3 linked regions of the Nothobranchius furzeri genome follow. The protein of the gene in region 1 interacts with the protein of each later gene in a pairwise test. Links are inferred from orthologs where the notes say so. Each region holds a gene or a part of one and is shown on either strand. Other genes may lie near its edges.

Region 1 (4,517 bases):
TGATCAGCTCTTTCAATTAATTTGTTTGACTTTTTTTTTCTTTCAGCTCAAGTATTTACGGCTCTTTTCCTGCAGCTTTAATGACGTGATTGGATGGAAGCTGTAATAAAAGCCTAAATGAAATTCGTCCAAACTTTAGAAGACCTTTGGAGTCCAAACAGTGAGACTTTTATCTCCAGAGTTGTTACAAACACCTGGAATCTGATGGAAGATGTTTGGTATCCAGCTGAGAAGCCACACATCTCACATGTTCCTGTCGCCCTGCTAACCTGCTGCTCTCTCTGGGACTGTCCCAACAGCACCTCCAGCGGTCTGAGGCGATCCAGTTCCAGTTCCTGTGAGTGCAGGCTGGCCTGAGCCTTCTCCAGCTGTGCACGCAGATGCTGCACCTCTGAACAGCACTCCTTGTGTTCCCTCTCCACCCGCCCCGATGCCCATTGGCTCTGGAAAAACAAATATTACTGAAATGCAACAACAATGCAGCAGTCTTCCACACTTTTATACACTAAATATGTCTGGCTTCCTGAGTGAAAGTCATAAATGTGCTTTTTAACCTTTAAGTGAGCAAGCTCCTGGTTCAGGCTTTTATTCTGGAGCTCCAGTGTGGTCAGCTGGTTTTGGTACCGAGTTCGCTGCTGCTCAGAGCGCTGCTGATGCTTCTGCACCAATGTAAGAACGATTAATCAAATTCCAGGAGATGGAAATGCCAGGAAAATCTATTAGTTCACCTTTGCAAGCTCAGTCTCCTTTCCACCTCCACTTGTCTCCTTAAGCTGTTTGCGATGAAGCTTCTGGTAACTTCTCTTCAACTTGTCCAACTATAAGAAACGATGTTAACAATAAACATGATACAAGCGATATAGCTGAGTGCATTTGAGGAAAAACAGATGATCACACCTCTTCACGGAGTCTCTTTAGTTGTTGTTCGTACTTGGATACCAACTCTTGCCGATCCGTCTGAACGGCTTCAAGCTGCTTGTGAAGAAGTCCAATCTGCAACAAATACATGAGGCATAATACTTCTGTTTTTATGTGTTTTTTAGATGCCTCTAAGGCCTTTGACAGAGTCAATCATCAGAAATTATTCATCAAGCTACAAAACAGAGGGGTCCCTTCTTACCTAGTTAGGATTTTGCACTTCTGGTACTCTCATCAACTGATGCAGGTAAAGTGGGGGACAGAAGTGTCTGAACCTTTCTCCGTATCAAATGGAGTCAGACAAGGCGGGATTCTGTCACCTGTCCTTTTTAACCTGTACCTTGACGAGTTGTCTGTTACTCTGAATGCTAGTAAGACTGGATGCTTGGTGGGTGACCGACTGGTAAATCATTTAATATATGCAGATGACCTAGTCCTCATGTCTCCCTATAGCGCAGGCCTGCAGCAGCTGCTCAGGGCATGTGCTAAGTATGGTGAGCAATTTGACATCCTGTTTAACCCTAAAAAGAGTGTGGTTATGATTGCTGCTACTAAAGGGGACCTGAAGCTTAATTTTCCATCTTTTAACTTAACAAATCAGGTCCTGGAAGTGGTAAGCAAAGTAAAATATTTGGGGCACATTTTAAGAAGTGACCTCTGTGATGACGAGGACATTAAGAGGCAGTGTGGTAAGCTGTACATGCAGGCTAACACTCTGGCACGTAACTTTGGCATGTGCTCAGATCCTGTAAAAGTGTCCCTCTTTCGTTCCTTTTGTACTCCTCTCTATACCGCCCACTTGTGGTGCAACTATAGTAAGGTAGTAATGAAGAAGCTTCAAGTGGCTTATCAGGATGCTTTTAGAATCCTCATGAAGCTCCCTAGATGGACTTCGGCAAGTCACATGTTTGTTACGAGTAACATCCCAACTTTTCATGCGCTTCTGAGGCTCTTCATGTACAAATTCATCTGCCGACTGAGTTTGTCAGCTAACGCGGTTGTTAGAGCTCTGTCATCTTTATCTTACAGTGACACGAGGTACTCCTCAGTCCTTTTTAAACATTGGAGCAACTGCCTATATGGTTTGTAATTAGAATGTGTTTGTATTTTATTTTTTTATTTATTTTTTATTTTTTTTATTCTTGTTATGGACATATCCCTTGTCTGAAATAAAGTTTGATTGATTGATTGAATAGGTGATGGTGTTATTATGGGAATAGAGATAAAATGCTTCATGCCACAACTATTTACTGTCTCCTTCCTTACGGTTTAAAACATGTCCTAAAACCAACATCCTCACACATTTACATTTATTTTTGAAACATTTAATTGAATCTGCAGGAGGTTTTGTTTTGAGAGTACAACGAATCTTCATAGCAGAGGCTTTCTGATCATTTAAGGAATAATTTAGTAAGTCTCCAACATTAGGTGAGGCCAGAAATGGAGACAGTGGCCATAAAAACTGTTTTAGCAGGAGAGTCCATGTTTGGAATTGGAAATGGGATGGAAAAATGTTACCTTCAAAATGCTGCATGTCAAAATAAGGGCATGCTTGCTTTTTTATTACAAGCTTCTGTGTTGATTAAATTACTTTTGTGATTCTTTTGAGCAAAAAAGGATGAATCGTCACTTCACCTCCAGATCCCTCCGTTCAATGGTAGTCTTGGAGGTTAAAAGCTCTTCTTCTCCACTGGTGACCCTGAGCTGCAGAGCGTGGAGCTCAGCCTCCCACTCCCTCTTCTGATGATTGATCATAATGTCAATCTGTCTCATCAGCTCCTGCAGCTCAGGCTCGCATGAGGACAGGACAGAGCTGCGTAGCAGAAGATTAAAGCGTGTTATCAACTTCATTTGTGTAAACACGCATCTAAAGATGGCTGACTTAGCCTCACGACAAACCAAACGTCTGTTACCTTATATCAGGATTCTGTATTGATTCCAAAGAAACCTCCATCTCGTTCAAAAATGGCGCCGTCTGTCCCCTCTGCGCGCTAAGGTGCTACAACACGGTGGACTCTATCCAGATTGTCCTTACAAGCTAAGACCGGCACGTTGTAGAGTATAAACAAGTTTGATGACATCGCTACGTCAACAACACTATTCGGCGTTCAACTGCTTTTCTTTACAAAGAATTTCCGGTTCCAAGGCGGTACATCCGCCTTCTAACTGTGACCTCATTACGTTTTACGTAGGCAACATTTTAAAAAATGTAATTTATTATTTGGTCTTCGACTTTAAAAATAAGGTTTGGGAGGGAAAATTAAAGAAAAAACAAACACATTAATCTCACGGCTTAAGATTCAGATGTCGTGTAACGTGAAGGTACGTCTGAAATTCCATGAAATTAGACATTCTATTATAGTGTGTAAAAATACAATAATACTTTTAAAACAGTACATTTACAGAAAAACTACATATCACTTTAAATTAACTTTAAATTATTTTATGTGTCTTTCCCGGACACGTGGCTCGTTGGTCTAGGGGTATGATTCTCGCTTCGGGTGCGAGAGGTCCCGGGTTCAAATCCCGGACGAGCCCATAATTTTTAGCATGGTCATTTAGAATGTGATTTGAAAATTCGGCGGTCTGCTGTCCGAACATATTGGTCGCTGTGTCGCTGCGTGAGTGTTGTATAAATTATCTGCTTGGCCATGGCTAGGGAAGAGGGATATCATGATAGCTTTTCCGTTTTTACCGCAATCCCGCGAGCAAGGTGTCATCGTGAACCGATGCTTCAACAGCACAAATGTCAAGAAAACATGAAACATTTATTACCTACAATATACATATGTTCCTTTAACACATCAGCATTTTGTTGGTAGAGGGGTATGATTCTCATATTGAATGCGAGAGACTCCGGGTTCAATTCCCAGATGTGCTAAGTTTTCTTTATATGTCTTTTGAGAAACATTTTATCAGGATGTGTTATGGTTAAGGAAAAAGCAAAACACATCACCTACTTTGGAACGTTCATCAACCCCTCCTTTACCACTCCCCCTTCCTCACCCATCTCTCCACCTGCCTTCATTCAAACTAAACAAAGAGCGTTTCCTCCGCTCTGCATCCCCAGCTGTTCATGGGAGGGCTTTTGGCTGTTTCGCCCCCACCAACGCAACAGACGCTCTAGCAGGAGGCAGGCAAGCTGCTCTCTGACATCATTCACAGCACAGACACCGAGCTGCACAAACCTAAAAGAAAACACCGCAGATACACACATCACCTGTAAGTAATCTGTTTTATTACAAACTATTATCTGACCATGGCTGTTTTGTGTTTCACTCAAGCTTATAAAAAAACCAACAGCATCCAACTTTAGGATTTAAGTGATTCATTTTGATGGTATTTGAAATGAACATAGAATTTGGTTCTAAACAAATTCTTCCCTTTTAAAACGGTTTCTAATACTGAAGATATTTGATTGAAAGACAGACAGCGTTGGAACTTTGACATCAGCTCTGACATCTTTCCTATCGACAGACTTTTAGATCGGAACTCACTCGGATCATCTCAGAGGACTCTTTTTTTTGTGATCTTCTGGGGTCTACCAGCTTGACGATGGTTTTGTGCGACGATGGAGAGTGCAGCGTCTGCCTCTTGCC
Region 2 (3,455 bases), on another chromosome or scaffold:
ACAAAAGCCTCCTTCACCTTGCTACTGCTCTGGGTCGGTGCTGAAATAAACATCCGCCTTCTGTCTCCTAAAATCAAATACCCATGCCGTATGGAAGGGTCGTTCTGACTAAAGTCAAGCCAAGAACAAGAATAGGGTTAACATTTAGATCTGTGTGTATTCAGCTGGGACATTCAGTCTCACACAGAGACAAACAGTTCTTTCTCTATATGAAGTTTTCCCTTTTCGTGACAATTTTATACGTCTTTATATTTCGATGTTTTCTTAATGTGTGACTTCCTCCGTTTGCAGGTTCTTTAGCTCCTGGCTCTCATTTTCTTGGACGCTTTCAGGACCGTATGGTTTGGATAATGATCCTGGAGAGAGGATATGGCTACTGTACTGTCAACATTAAGGTGTGTTGTCTCAGTCTTCCTGTGTCTAACAGACGTACTGTCAGATCGTATACTGTAAGGAGTTGTGGTTTTCTGACAGGGTCTGGAGCTGCAAGAGACATCTTGCCACACTGTGGAGGCACGGAGGGTAGATGAAGTTTTCGAGGCTGCTTTTGAGCGACCCGAGCGTCTCGGCTTCACCCAGGGCTTTAACCTGCACTGGGGTAACGCCCTCACTCCTTGTGCTGCACTTGCGGTGCGAGCGTACTCCGATGCCCGGAACGTGCTCTCTGGTATCATTGACTCTCATGAAAACTTGAGGAAACTTCAGGATGACTTCATGAAAGCCCTGATCTGGCTGCTCCTGCGGTACTGTGTGCAGAAACATCGAGGATTTCTGTGGCGCGGTGAGGAGGTGTCCGCGAGTGGAGGCACAAAGTCCCAGTCTTCACAGTTCGCTCAGACAACCTGCAATCAGCCATTTGAGGCTGTTGTGGTCGAATCCAACCTGTCTTCTTTCAGGTTCCGACAGGAAAGCTCTAGTGGGACTTCTTTTGGAGACTGGTCAGATGAGGATGACTTGTTTGGACCACAACCCCCCAGACGGACAGTGGCATTAGTCACCGCAGAGGCCCAACCTGGACACTCGGCCCTGCAGATAGGAGCCTCTTTGCCTGGCTCTGTAGAAATGGATAGTCTTTTTGAAAACATGGCTCTTTCTGCCCTGCAGCCACTGCAGCCCCTGGGACTCAGCATTGGGATGCCAGCAGTAGATAAAAGCCGAAACACGGAGGTCCTCAAAGAGAGTTCTCATTTAAACTTCAGCTGTCCTCAGTCTGAGATATTTAGCCTTCCATCAGGGTGGAGGACAGCACCGTTACTGCCATCTCGCTTGCTGTCTCTTAGGCCCCTGTTTCCTGAGGAATGGTTTCGGTTTACCTTGGGACGCTTTGGACTGGCTGTGCAGGAGGAGACTTCGGCGGACATGACCAAAGCCCTGAAAGAGGATGAGGTTTTAAAAGAACTACATGCTAAAGTTGCACTTTCTTGTCTCATCTTGGTGGGGGCGGAGTCTGCCTTCACCAGCCCTAGTTACATTTACAGACTCTACTGTGGAGATGTACCGTGGACCGAAGGACTCGACTGGCTGTCCTCACGTAAAGAACTCTACCAGCTCACACTTCAGGCATTCAGGTAAACCTGCTCTCCACATTTTAATGACCGATCCATGGAACTTAAAAAAAAATCTGCTCGCTTTGATTTGCCTCCAGGTTTAGTTTCAAGCTGCTGTTTGATCAGGCGAGCCTCGGGCCGATGGAATCCCCTGAGGAGTTGTTCAGCACTTTAGAAGAATATGAAAGGGACTGGTACATTGGCCTGGTTACAGAGAAAGGCTGGCATGACGGTGTCCTTCAGGAGAAGCCTTTCCTTTTCTCTCTGGGGCATGATCTCACTATGGTAAGTGAACATGGTCAAGTAAAGATTTACAGCGTTGATGGATTACATGCAGTGCACATGAAAGTGATTTTGCTCAAGTGATGACTTGAAGATCAGTGAAATATCTGCGGAATGACGTTTTCGTCCACAGGGTACCTACACAGGACGAGTCCTGTCCCTGCAGGAGCAGCTGATACAGGTGGGCCGTCTGAACGGAGAGGGGGTTCGAGGCCAGTGGGCAAACCTTTCGTGGGAGCTGTTGTATGCGACTAATGATGACGAGGAGCGGTACAGCATACAAGCTCACCCCTTTATGCTTAGAAATCTAACTGTTCAGGCAGCCGATCCTCCTCTAGGTTACCCAATTTACTCATCTGCCCCTCTTCACTTTCCCTGTCTCTGACCCGCCACAGTTCTTAGTTAAGAGGGGAACCCCTTTTTTTAACATTCATTAATAGTCTGAAGAAACCTCCACCTGCGCTTGAGCTTTACTCTCTAAACTGTTGACTCACGAAAACCCACTTTTTACACACTTTTCAGAATTTTATCTACTTCAGCTCCTAATGTGGTCGACGTCTTTAAACAGAACGTGATGAATTAGCTGGTCTGTAAACCAGGAAACCAAAACGAGTTAACCTAAATTAAACCCAACAAATCCATTTCCTGCTCTACTTTTTAGGTTTCACACTCCTCAAATTTTAATTTCTATGTCCAGATAAAGGTACAAGATGCTGAATGTTTTGTTACGATATCAAGGATGTGCCTTGAGTATGTCTTGCTCTGTGTACGATGATTAGTGCTATTGTTTTGTTTACAACTCTGTTGTTTACAGTTAAAAATTCAATGAATATGTTGTTTCTTGTATAAAATGTTCATTTTTATATGTGTGCTTGTAATAAAATATGTTGACAATAACAACTTTACCATTTTTAACTAAATGGACAGAAAATTGATCCAAACTAAATTTTATTGTTCAAGCAAAAGATCAGTACAAATGCATCATTCTTACAGCCGTTAGTCTTTGCAAGCATTCAAATTCAGTGTCAGATGTTAATTCTTTGAATTGTAAAGACATGGATAGACAGAAGTTTTCAAACTTACTCTAAAAATCAGAAAACATTCACAGTTAGGAATGCAGTGAGATCCCTGTTCAGGAGGTCTTTGGTTTAGTGAAGTACGCAGAGTCTGCATCCTGCAACAGAAAAGGCTGGTTGTCAGCTCTGGCTTGATGTTACGGAAAACCAAATCATTTTTATTCAAGGATGAAACGTGAATGAGAGATTTTTTAATCTTGAATAACTGTGTGGTGACCCCTGACATTGCTTTCACTACAGAGGCCTCAATGTTAAGAAATACTGTTTATTTGGTAAGACTTATTTCATTCCCCCCCTTTGTGAAGCACGTGAGGCCCGTTTTTGACTGGTAGGAAGGAACAGCACCTTCCAACATGGCCCCCAGCTGTCCCTGTCCAGCAGAGGCCACTTGGTGTAGTTATCAGTCCAGTCACACATTGAGAGTGCAGCTTCGGTTTTTCTTAATCATTGCAGGCAAAGATGCACTTACCAGACCAGCTTTAAAGTTTTGTACCCTTTTCCTGCCCATCATGTTTGTGATGGCCCAGGCAAACGTGGGTGCATACTGCCA
Region 3 (4,237 bases), on another chromosome or scaffold:
ATTTGTTTCATTCACACCTAAAAATAAATAAAAAAATTGTTTAAAAAAATCATGGTTGAAGATTTCATAATTCGTGCATCAGAGGGTTAGAGAAGTGTTTCAGAAACAAACACCATTGGAAACATATGTGACCTTTAGTCTGGATATTCTCCACAGATGTGTCTTAATGATGAAAACAGACTCTGGTTGTAGTCTTTATTGTGGTGGAGGATGTGGAGCCGTCGCCAGCAGCTCCTTCAGCAGGAACAGAACTTTTTACACGGAGGAAAAACATTTTAAACATCAGGGAAGATCGTCAGCATCCTAAACTCAGACACAAACATGGAAAATAAACTCACTACAGCTTTTGTTTGCTTTCAGAATCAAGCCTCTGCAGCATTTTAATGTAAAAACGTGGTTAGCATCATTAGCTGTTAGCTGCGATTTCAGCGAAGTAACTAAAAGCTGCTTGTGGATTCTTTAAGGTAGAAACTAAATCAGAACTTGAGCTGAAGTCTGGCAGCAGGAGCAGCAGGAGGAGCGGCGTCAGGAACCCAGACGGGTCCTAATCAGAACACAAATGGCACTAAAGTTTGTTCCCGACTGAACAGATTCAAACACTCAGCTACTGACTTGTTGGAGACGAATCAGAAACAACAGATAAATAAACAGGTCAGTGAAGGCAACATCGACGTCCATTTTAAGGGAAACTTTTTCTGTTTGTTTTTAATTGTTTTATTAGTGTTTAACATAATTAATAGTAGCAGAAAGAGGTTTTTTTTTTTTTTTACATTTTGGGATGTTAAAATTTTTTTGTGCTCTGTTTTCCTGCTGAGGGGGATGGTGGGAAGCCAGCTGAACAGCTCTGGGTCATTCAGAACCAGAACCAGCCCAACAGAACCGGACAGCAACAGCGGTTACGGGCGGGAAACGTCAAGTCAAGCTGCCGTTTTACTGAGTTTATGGGATAAATAGTTTCTGTGACTTTGCTGCAGAAGCTGTTCTGTGGTTGGAGGTTCTGTGGAGGTGGTTCTGGTTCTACGAGAATCTGACCGGCTGCAGAGGAGGACAAGAGGAGGAGCCGTCTGCTCCTCCTTCACCTCCCCCTCCTGATACCCCCACCTCTTGGATTGCAGCGGTGGTGTCCTCGTTGTAGAGACGCTTGATGCCATCGTAGAAGTCGTCCACCTCCATCTGCTCCACCTGGAAATGGAGAAGGGGTCTCATTTATCAAACAGGGCGTAGAATCCTGACTAAAACCGTACTTAAGCTCAGCTAAACAAATGTACTTACGCCAAGCAGGTTTGTGATCTATCAAACACGGAGTACGCACAGCTGCACGCAGTCTAAACTATCTAGAACGTTTCTCAGCTGCATTTTAGTCGCATCCCGCCCTCGCCACGCCCACGTACTGCCACATATAGTCAATGCAAAGTGCCTTGTGGGTCTCATGCATACACATAAGCCGGCTGTTGCAGCGCTCTGCCAATGACATGGCGACCGTAGATCAAGGCAGATCAAGGAAGCGCTATTTCACAAGCAGAAGTTGAGGTGAGGTGGAGAAATGAAAGGAAGTGCTTTTGCAAAACAAATAAGAGAAAATCCACGGAGTGGCACAGCGTTGCTGAAGCCGTCAATGTTGTGAGTTCTTCAGAGAGATCTGTGGCGGATATAAAAAGAGTGGTCTAATCGGGGTTAGATCCCCAGACTCCCGGGTGAAAGTCACGCGCACTAACCAGTCAGCCAAATGGAGATCTCCCCTGTACAGGTAGCCAGGTCGCGTGATCAATCGGGTAACAGTGACAGGACACACACCGTCACAGACGCATGATGTTCTGTCTCAATCTGTCCCCCTGCTGATATTCTGCATTCCGTATTCTGCACTTCAGGCTGTGTGTGTGTGTGTGTGTGTGTGTGTGTGTGTGTGTGTGTGTGTGTGTGTGTGTGGTTTTTATGCAGCATCTGTTTACGAACACATTATCGTGGAATTGTATTTTGAAATGCTTTATTTTGTTAAATTTACCGGCCTGCGTCTTAAGTCCAGGTTTGACTTCCTGCCAGAATTGACGCGGTTCACCCGCGGCTCGCGAATAAAATAGAGCAGACGCCAAAACGATCGCTGCACGGCGCGGGCTGGAGCGCCGGCGCACGGCGGCCCATGTGGCCTATAGAGTAGGATGACAAGGGCGCAGAATGAAGGTGGTCCCCGTTTGGCGGCGCTCCGGCAGCCGGCGTGTCCCCGGCGTAAGCCAGGTCCTTAGTCAGCTTAAAGTTTTCCTTCATAAATCCCAAAGTTTGCGTGGAAAGTTGCTTATGCAGTTTTCCGACCCCGTTTTGTGCGTAAGCAAGCTTGATAAATGAGGCCCCAGGTGTTTGGTGTGTGTGTGTGTGTGTGTGTGTGTGTGTGTGTGTGTGTGTTTCTCCCTCCCAGGGGGAGGAGCAGCGTTACCTTTCTCTTGGTGGAAGCTTTGCAGCGCAGCGTGATCCTCTGCAGCTGGTTGAGGCGTTTGGGTGAGAGCAGAGCTGGGATTTTGCTCTCAGAGGAGGAGATGAAGCTCCTCTCCTCCCCAGCAGCAGCTGCTTGAGGCTGGACGGCGGTGGAGCTGAGGGTGTGGTCCCTGGAAGTCTCAGCGAGGGAGGTGACAGTTCCTGGAAACAAGGATGATGGAGACTTGAACAGAAATGTTAAATGAGCTCCGGCCCCTCTAGGCTAGTCGGGGTGCAGCCAGGATCCACGTCCTAAAACTACCCACTTCCTAACCTTCAGAGCAGTCTGCAGGTAAATACCAGCTAGACGAAGGCGGCGAGTTCTCGGATCAACACCCTGATCTGAGGAGACTTGTGGAGTCCACCTCCACCAGGTAAGTAAACGCAGAAACATTCATCATAATAAATCAAATCTGAGACCGGCTGCCCTGTAGGTCCAAACGCCTCTTCCCGATGATTCCAGTCTGGTAGGGATCGGATTTGCACTGCTGGAGAATCACTTCCTGCTAATGAGGACTTCTACAGGAAGTGCTGTCTCAGGACAACAATGGACATTAGGAAAGACCCCCCCCCCCCCCCGAGCAAACGGACACAAACAGCAGCGCTAGGGCTGTCCTAACACCTTCCTGCTCACGTCAGAGCCATCCTCAGGGGTTTGGACACAACATTACTGGAACCTGCACCAGACTCATGAGGTGACACTTACCCAGCGGGGAGGTCGGATTCGGCAGGGGTCGGTAGATGTAGACGGTGTTAGGAGGCAGGGAAGCTCTCGGTGTGGACAGACTACGTGCGACTAGCTCTCTGCTACGGATCAACTCAGAGCTGTCGATCTGAACAAGGGAACAACCACAAGGAAGTGTTTTAGAAGCTGGAGAAGGGATGGATGCAAGTCCTGGTTGCCTTGGTAACACCAGGAGCTTTCAGAGAAACGTTAGGATCAAATTAAGACTTATCACAATGAAGCTATTAAACATTTCTGTGTTCTTCCCAGGACAGCCAGGCTGCAGCGACGGTACGTTACGTACGCAGAAGAACAGGAAATCACTCGTTCACATGCGTCTGGTCTTCATATCTCATTAAATCTGTGTTTAATACATTTATCAGCTTTTTTCGCTCCACTTGTTTGGGTTTGGTTTGTACCCGAGGCCCTGGGGTTCACGAAGTCCAGCAGCTTTATGTTTTACAAGGATCACTGTAGAAAATCAGAACCAGTAAAAGACGTCATTACAATAACAACTTAAACCGGTTTAAACCAGCTCAGTGGCCCAGTGGTAGGGTCCGCCCCGGGATTAGGAGATGGGGGTTTAAATCCCGGTCGGGTCACACCAAAGGCTTTAAAAATGGGAGCCCAATGCCTTCCTGCTCGACTCTCAGCTTTAAGGGGTTGCATTCGGGGGTCAAACCACCAAGTAGTTCCCGAGCGCAGCCACAGCTGCAGCTCAGTGCTGCCCCCATGGGGATGGGTCAAAGGCAACTTCACCTGTGTGATGATGATGACTTTAAATAAAACCTGTTTAACTCTCCGGTTGAACTTCTCTAAACACTCATCAGAAAAAGGAGAAGTTAGACGTCTCTCTGCTATAAAACCATTTCAGCTCCCCCGAGTCTCCAAATCTGGAGTTTTTCCACCTATGGCACCATCTAGAGGTGGAAAATTGTATTGCACCTTAAGCCTCTCTCCCCATTTCTGTTCTGGATAAAAGCAGCACCCCTCGGTGAACACACACCTCTAGCTGGCCAGCAAGCGCTCAACAGGGTTTACAGATTC

What was found. The genes of interacting proteins can lie anywhere in the genome.
Region 2: the proteins of cep63 (region 1) and pcnx4 interact in a two-hybrid assay, tested with the Homo sapiens proteins (2 studies listed by BioGRID and IntAct). The link is inferred for Nothobranchius furzeri from reciprocal best matches to the Homo sapiens genes CEP63 and PCNX4.
Region 3: the proteins of cep63 (region 1) and ccni interact in a two-hybrid assay, tested with the Homo sapiens proteins (2 studies listed by BioGRID and IntAct). The link is inferred for Nothobranchius furzeri from reciprocal best matches to the Homo sapiens genes CEP63 and CCNI.

Annotation. Positions count from the first base shown.
Region 1 is NC_091756.1:60,714,898-60,719,414, reverse strand, and holds the start of cep63 (centrosomal protein of 63 kDa), read right to left. Parts: upstream 3,026-4,517; 5' UTR 2,873-3,025; coding exon 2,832-2,872; intron 2,732-2,831; coding exon 2,554-2,731; intron 994-2,553; coding exon 898-993; intron 819-897; coding exon 729-818; intron 660-728; coding exon 555-659; intron 444-554; coding exon 270-443; intron 1-269. Other genes in the region: im:7152348 (tripartite motif-containing protein 3), read left to right, coding at 4,474-4,517. UniProt on the Homo sapiens protein: Required for normal spindle assembly.
Region 2 is NC_091758.1:31,251,782-31,255,236, reverse strand, and holds the end of pcnx4 (pecanex-like protein 4), read left to right. Parts: intron 1-291; coding exon 292-395; intron 396-474; coding exon 475-1,568; intron 1,569-1,645; coding exon 1,646-1,832; intron 1,833-1,962; coding exon 1,963-2,214; 3' UTR 2,215-2,734; downstream 2,735-3,455. Other genes in the region: dhrs7 (dehydrogenase/reductase SDR family member 7), read right to left, coding at 2,962-3,003, 3,375-3,455.
Region 3 is NC_091746.1:73,444,755-73,448,991, reverse strand, and holds the end of ccni (cyclin-I), read right to left. Parts: intron 3,300-4,237; coding exon 3,173-3,299; intron 2,629-3,172; coding exon 2,429-2,628; intron 1,183-2,428; coding exon 1,018-1,182; 3' UTR 722-1,017; downstream 1-721.